Linked DNA regions of Caenorhabditis elegans. The protein of the gene in region 2 interacts with the protein of the main gene of each other region in a pairwise test. Each region holds a gene or a part of one and is shown on either strand. Other genes may lie near its edges.

Region 1 (3,754 bases), on a different chromosome or scaffold from region 2:
GCTGCTTTGACTTTGCGATCCGTGCTATTTGAAGAATTCGTGACAAGCCTAAAATTTTTCACGCATTTCAGGCTTCGCTCATAAATTGAAATGGAAGAGTTTGCCGAACTAGGCCATTTTGGCTCGGTTATATCTGGGGTAGATTTACGGCGCGTTGCGTTTCGCGTCGCGGCTCGATTTTAGTTGTAAAACTGATGTATTTGTCCGTATGGAGTACACGACACTTTTCCACGCGTTGTCCGGCTCCGAATCATGGCCGAAAATGAAAATTTCAAATCGGCAATCCGTCAAATTGCCGGAATTAAAAATTTCCGGCAAATTGGCAAACCGGCAATTTGCTGATTTGACGAATTTGTCGACAAATCAATTTTCCGAACGGCAATTGCAGCCCACCCCTGTACCAAATATAAATGTTAAAAAGTTTCAAAATTTTTTTGTAAATTTTCAAACCTTTTTTAAAAATTTAAAAAAAATTTGAAACTTTTTTTTTTTAATTTTGACCTATTGACTTTTGTCCCAGAGTTTCAGCAAATTTTTTCCGATTACCAAATTTTCTGCTCAGAAAAATGTCTGAAAAAGTGACAATTTATTTTTCAAATTTTCCAACAAAGAAAAAAATAGAGTTCAAAAATAATTCAGCTCATCTTCAAATTTTAAAAAATCATAAAAAATTTAGAAAATTGTTATAAATTTTTTTACAGTTATATTCGGTGTTTTAGGGTTTTCAAAGGTTAACTTGATAACTTCGGATGCAATTATCTTTTATTTGAGTGGTCACACTTTCATCATATTAAAACCAAACTCTACCTTTATTGTTTTCATCATCCAATGGTTGTTTCAGCGGTGTAATATCTTTAAACTGGCACAAGTACAGCACTACTGCGTCTTTGTGATTTTTGATTGGAGCCAGGTGGACCAGAAGCCAAATAGGTGTTTCTGTAAGAAAAATGCTGCAAATGTTCATTTTCCAAAAACGCTTACTATTCTTTTTACATAATCCAATTTCGGCCTGTTCGGTTCTCGCGTTTTCCAAAGCTTCCTGCATCTTCTGAAGGCTGCCCACCTCGCCGTGTTCGCCATGCATGAAAGCAAGTCTGAAAGTGTTTTCTACATATAGGTGGATCGATCAGTGGAGATTTAATCTGATTACATTTTTATTGTGGTTTAAAATTATCGATAAACATAATAAAACACACCAAATTTTTTTAGCATATTCAAAAATTTCAGAATTTCAAAAATTGCCAAATTTCTCAACAAAAAAAACAAATGGGTTAAAGAATAAAAACAACAAAAAATAAATCGCAGTGATTTGAAATAACTCACCCATTTTTAAACCCAGGTAAATTAACTTACGAGCATGGTTTCTGCATAATCTCAGCTCGAGTATACCCGACGAGCTTCGAGAACCCGTCATTGCAATAGACGATTGGATAGTCAACAACTTGGGCGTTTGCAAGAATGAATGAAGTATCTGAAATTTCAGTATTCTCCATTTTTGTGGGACCAGGGATGTACCGATTTTAGTTAACTCACCTGCATTATTACACCGCCGAATAACATTCTCCAGAAACGTATTTTGTGGCGCCACAAGTCCACGTTTCCCAACCGGCATATTGTTAGATTTTTCCGGCAAAAAAACGGGCAGCTACAATATGGAAGAGGGAAGATCCTACACAGTAGTTCTATCGCTCTTGAGTTAATTTTGTCTATGACATTTCAATAGAATAAAGTGTTATCTGGAAAAATAGTTTATTGATTATTTAATGTAGAAAATGATTTAAAACTTAATAAGCAGACGATCAAGTTGAACACAACTTTGTCAAGTTAAAAAAAACCGGAAGAAAAATATAAAAATTCAAGGCTCATTCGAAGGAGGAGTGCCAGTTTGAACAGTTTTAAACGTACATACATATAGACTAGGGGTGTGCGGCAAGTTCGCCGAATTTGCCGTTTGCCAAGCTCGGCAAATTCACCGAATTTGCCAATTTTTATAAAAAGAGATTTGCAGCACACATCAAAAATTTGACAATACAGTCTTGACCAAAACTATTGTTTGATTTTGTCCCCAAAATTTTAATAAAATGACACAAAATTGAGTTAGTTTTGGTGCTCCAAAAAACATCAAAAAACATCAATTTTTTGGAGCTTATTAAAGCTGGGGTTTCGAAATTTGGGAAATATTTTTAATTGACTCCGAATTTTCCCCTGATTCCGAATATCAACGTGAAAAAAAAAATTCCCTGAATTTAAGCTTGAAATCACGAATTTCATTTGTGCCCCGATAAAAAAGTAAACAAATTAAATTCGGCGAAAATAAGTACGGATTTCTGGCTTCCCTCATGATTTGAAATGGAAGAGTTTGCCGAACTAAGCCATATTAGCTCGGCCATAACTGGGGTAGATTTACTGCGGGTTGCGTGTCGCGTCGCGGCTCGATTTTAGTTGTAAAACTAAATGTAATTGTCCGTGTGGAGTACCCGACTTTACCACGCATTGTCCGGCGGGCGATTGTCTATGGAGCGCGAAAAATTCAATGAGGAAGGCCAGAACCCCGTGAATAAGTAAAACTAACGAGGAAAATGAAACGATGCAAGTGCGCTCCAATGCGAATTTATTGGCGGGCGCATTTGAGAGAATTAATAGACTGGACACAAATGAAATTCGTGATTTCAAGCTTGAATATAAACTCAGGGAGTTTTTATTTATTTTTTTCACATCGATATTCGGAACCAGGGGAAAATTTGGAGTCATTTAAAAAAATTTCCCAGATTTCGGTACCAGAGAAAAATTTAAAAAATATATATGCAAAAAAGGATGTTACTTCAAAAAAAAATCAACTGCGACACGGAAAAAAAATATTCGGAAAAAAAAAAACGCTTTAAAGCAATTACTCAAATTTCGGAATTCCCTTCATCAAAGAAGGAGGTTTTTGGATTAGAAACTTAATTTCAACAACAAATGCAAAACTTAGAAATGTTATACCCTTCAGCAGAGGAGATGTACTTATCAAGTGGGAGCTCTGAATATCATCGCGTGTTGAGAATTGAGATAAGGATTAGAGAAAAAAAAGTAAGAAAAAATTTCGAACCAGGTCGCTGTTTCGAAATTCTCGACTCGTCTGACTAATCGGATGCGTCTCTTCATCATAATATTCAGTCCCGAAAAAGACAGGGTCGAGAGTCGGTTGGCATGCACGCAACTCCCCTCGAAGCTTTCCGGGTGAAGGAGGATGGAGCATGTTTCGGAACATGATCTAATATTCCAAAGGATGCTGCTAGGCGACGAGCTGGTTTGAGCTTTGAAATTTGAGACCGAGCAATGAGGTCGGATGAGGAAGAGGAATGGAGCTTATTGAGGAAGTATTATTTGGATATTGGTTGGAAATTGATAGCAGAAGATCATTCAAAAAAATTTTAAAAATATGATTTTCTACGCGATCTATAACACAATATTGCGACAAACCTTCATATTTTAACAACTTTCAAAAATTCATATAAAATTTCGAATTTTTTTGGTTTTTTTCTTAAATCATAATATTCTGTCATTGTGACCTCATAGGCATGTTTTAAAGGTGGAGTAGCGCCAGTTGGGAAATTGTTAAAACTACTCCTATAGCGCCAAAATGACTGAACATCGTAATAAAACTTTCTAAAAAATTTTTAAATTTTTTTTATTTCCTGTCAAAAAGTGACAATTACTAAGTTTTTGCCACTCATAATTTTGGAAGTCGACCAAAAAAAAAAGTTTTTTTCTG
Region 2 (3,754 bases):
TTGCCGAGTTTGCCAAACTCGGAAAATTTCAAAATTTGCCGCACACCGCCTCTACAGTTGTTAAACTCTAGCGTGAATAAAGTATGGAATTCATAGAGTTTTTTGATCGACTTCCAAAATTATTATAGATAAAAACTGAGTCCACTTTTTGACTGTAAATTCAAAATTTTTAAAACAAATTAAAAATGTATTTAAAAAATAAAAATTTACGCATATTTATTATCTTAAGTTGCTAAATTTGTAACAAAATTTTTCTAAAATGCTTTGAAAACATTTGAAAGATTGAAAAATGAATACCTTTTGAAAGATTGGCAATGCCTGTAACTGCCGGATGTTCCCTGAACGTGTCTGATTGATTGTTCTGATCTATATTGACCTCTGAAAGAAAATATGGATTAATATTATTAAATTCTTTGAAGAAGAAATGAAAATGAAAAAAAAATGTTATGTGTCGCCTGGCTTCGACTGACGACGACGACGATCGAATTCTCAAATTTCAACGGACGAATTGTTGGCACACATAGACACTTACAAAATGTCAGGTCGACTTTTGTTAATTTTTGAGTATTCTTTGAACTTTTGGAATTCAGAAGTCAGAATATATTGTAAAGGAAAAGGATGAATCAGAAAGTAAGATTTAGATTGACTTTTGAGTGTTGTGCTTGTCTCTGGCTAATGGGTTAATTGCAAGAGAGGTCAATTTCCAATCTTCAGAGTTCATTCGTTTTGGAACTGACCTATTCGATTTTAATGTAGCTTATTTTTCACCAAAAAAACCTGTTTTCTTGGCAACAAACATGGAAAACTTATAGGCTACAGCAACTCTGAACTACTAAGGAATCACAGCACTTTTGATGAAATATGCAAGAAAATCATTTTTTCTAATCAATTTTCCTATTAATTTCACAAAACAATCGAGTGGCAAGGAGGGAACTTAAAAAATCAAGTTTTGAAGTTTTGAAATTTCCCACACATGTAGATCTCAACTCGAATAATATAGTTAGACTAATATCTAATTGAGTTCTAAACTCTAGTTTGAGACTAGACAATGTTTTAATACAAAATTTCATAGTAAACCTTTTCAAAAACTGGCAGTCGTTAAAAAAACCTTTTTCTTTTGAAATTTTGACACTCTACCAAAACTTTGAGTAAAAATGATTAGAGTGTTTAGTAATTATAATATTTGGCCATGTTTACAAAATTCTAAATTCTTACAGGCATTACTCTAAAAATTAGAAATGAAAAATATAGATAAGAAGGTACGAGGTAGGTGAAGGCATGTAGGTAAAAATTTTCGGGACTATGTTAACGGCTTATTGAATAATAGTCTCGTAGTCGAAAATAAACTTTTCTTATTCAAAAAAATCAATAAGGAATTCCAGTTTTCAGTGTGAATGTACCCCGCATTTCTTATCTTACAAATTAAAAAAAAGTTTCATGATATAAATTTTGTGTTCTAATCTGCAGAACAAAGAATGCAAACAAATTATGTTCGATGTTATCTAACTTTTTTTTGTTATTTCTACCAATCAATCTCAGTCAACATGAATCATATATATTTTCAATTGTTAGAAGATAGGAATATTAAAATAGAAACAATCTAACCTGAATTTGTGGAAGAATTGCTCATTCAATCAATAATTTATAGTTTGAAAGTTGATAGATAGGTACAATGACAGTAACTACTAATCAATTAGAATCAATTTAATTTCACTCTTCAATTTCTCAACTTTCGTACGAGTAGGTCTCGGTGTGTTTTCTCTATGTTTCTCTAGTTTTTCTGTGTTTTTTGTGTCCTATGCTACAAAATTGACTACGATAACAAAACTTTGATTTTGAAAAGAGAGAAAAAAGAAGGCGAAACGTACGTAAAATGCCTTTTTTCAAAAGAAAAATAAATGGAAGACGAGAAACTGGTTTCTAGACAGTGCGGGGCGATGATGTGTTGAATTTTGACTAATTATCGGATTATTCTGAGTTTAAATTTTCATTTCTCCGTATAAAACTTTGGTTTTGGATTCTTGCATATTTTTTCATTTATCAAAAAAAATTCCCAAAAAGCAGTGAACTTTTTAAAGGATTCAGACATGGTGAATCTGATCTATTCAAAAAACTGTGTTTTAATTGAAGACACAAACCATTAAATAAAAAAATTTTGTAATTCATTTCTTGGTATTGTTTTCGAAAAACGCTTAAAAAACGCTTCGAAAGAGCTTGTGAGTCTGAAAATGTTCTTCTGAAATATCGTTGCCACAGACTCATAGGCGTCTTCTTTAGAAATAATCTATGTATACTTTCAAATTTTTTTAAAGTTTTGTACACTTAGTCCAACATAATTGAATATCATTATTAAACGCTCCTAACGCCATTTAAATCTTTACAACTTTCAGTCAAAATTTGGTAAATTGCCAAAACTTCAACAACAAAGTCTTGTTATTTTGAGAATTTTTGCTGGTTCGAACCTGAAAAATTTTCAAAAAAAAAAGTTGATTAGAACGTAAATAATAAATTTTGTAAAAAATTAGTAAGTGAAAACTCTACTTGCGGTATTAAGCCTTTTCCAGTTTGTGATGCTTCATCTTCAAATCTAACTCTGAATTGCATATATCTGCAGTCAAAATCTTCCAAAATGCGTTTTTTTAATTCAAAATAGTACAAAATTAATTAATTATATTTTTCAACAGCTCTGAGATTCGAGAGGAAAACTATTTTAGATTATGTCCTAAATACAAGTTGCACAAAGCTTCGACTGAATCTTAAAAATTATTTTTGATGTTCGAAAACACAACGAGGTTGTTGGAAAAATATTTAAATAAAACTGAAATTTCAAATTATCAACTGTTCATAAAACTTTCCTTTATTCAAGAAAAACGCGTAGCTCATTGAGCACTGAGAGCCAATTCACAGACATACACACAAAAAAAGGCGTTGCGCAACGCAATTTTCTGTGACATTTAGCAAGAAACTCGTTCAGTGACCGACATAGTGCAACGTTAACTCTTCTACGGGGCACACCATAAAAGCGAACGACATGGGGATGTGAAAGTGAACGCATCACACGAGCTTCACCCATGAACTCTTTGATCTGCTCCTTTGTGAGATTCGAGAGCTTCGCCTGCTTGATCGCCACTTGAACTGACTTTCCTCCTTTCCGAAACTTCATCGTTCCCATCATCACTTCTCCAAATGCACCTTCTCCCAGCTTCTTCAGAGGCTCGATATTGTCGTGGTCCAGCTCCCAAGCTTGACGTGAGATTGCCTTGATGAGAAACACATCTTTTTGAACCGATTCCTTCTTAGTCAAGTGCCACTCCACCATTTCTGGGATTGACAAGAATGATACTTTTTCGATGAAGATCTTATCGCCTTTGGTTTTGATCACATAGTGTTTGATCTGAAATTAAAAAATACTTGAAAATAAAGTCTAAAACTATTTAATTACCTCTTCTTCCATTGGAGGAACGCAGTGCATCACACTCAGGATGTTACTTCTTGGTGATCCAGCTTGAGGCTCCGAGATGCGAATCACGAAATCTCCATTATTTTTCAAAACGGTTTTGACGTCTTCGCGGGGCAGGAACCCATGATAGTACGGCTCCTTTTCGATAGACGGTCGCTGCCTGAAATGATACTTCATTGAAGAGGGAAACCACGAGAATCACAAAAACTTACATGCTTGCTGTTCCACTTGCCATTTTTCAATGAACCGAGAGTTGTTTGAATTTAAATCTTACAACTTTTGAATACTGAACAC

The links. Proteins that work in one complex are often made in the same cells at the same time.
Region 1: the proteins of unc-43 (region 2) and egl-2 interact in a two-hybrid assay, tested with the Caenorhabditis elegans proteins (one study listed by BioGRID).

The regions. Positions count from the first base shown.
Region 1 is NC_003283.11:1,297,597-1,301,350, forward strand, and holds the start of egl-2 (Potassium voltage-gated channel protein eag), read right to left. Parts: upstream 1,613-3,754; coding exon 1,534-1,612; intron 1,472-1,533; coding exon 1,354-1,471; intron 1,095-1,353; coding exon 982-1,094; intron 937-981; coding exon 808-936; intron 49-807; coding exon 1-48.
Region 2 is NC_003282.8:10,348,588-10,352,341, forward strand, and holds the start of unc-43 (Calcium/calmodulin-dependent protein kinase type II), read right to left. Parts: upstream 1,631-3,754; coding exon 1,606-1,630; intron 385-1,605; exon of another isoform or gene 379-384; coding exon 298-378; intron 1-297. Other genes in the region: Y43C5B.2 (Tyrosine-protein kinase), read right to left, coding at 2,858-3,394, 3,443-3,620, 3,673-3,695. UniProt on the Caenorhabditis elegans protein: Acts in the signaling of a variety of pathways and processes. Phosphorylates 'Ser-319' of daf-16 in response to stress signals, such as heat, starvation and oxidation, which plays a role in prolonging lifespan.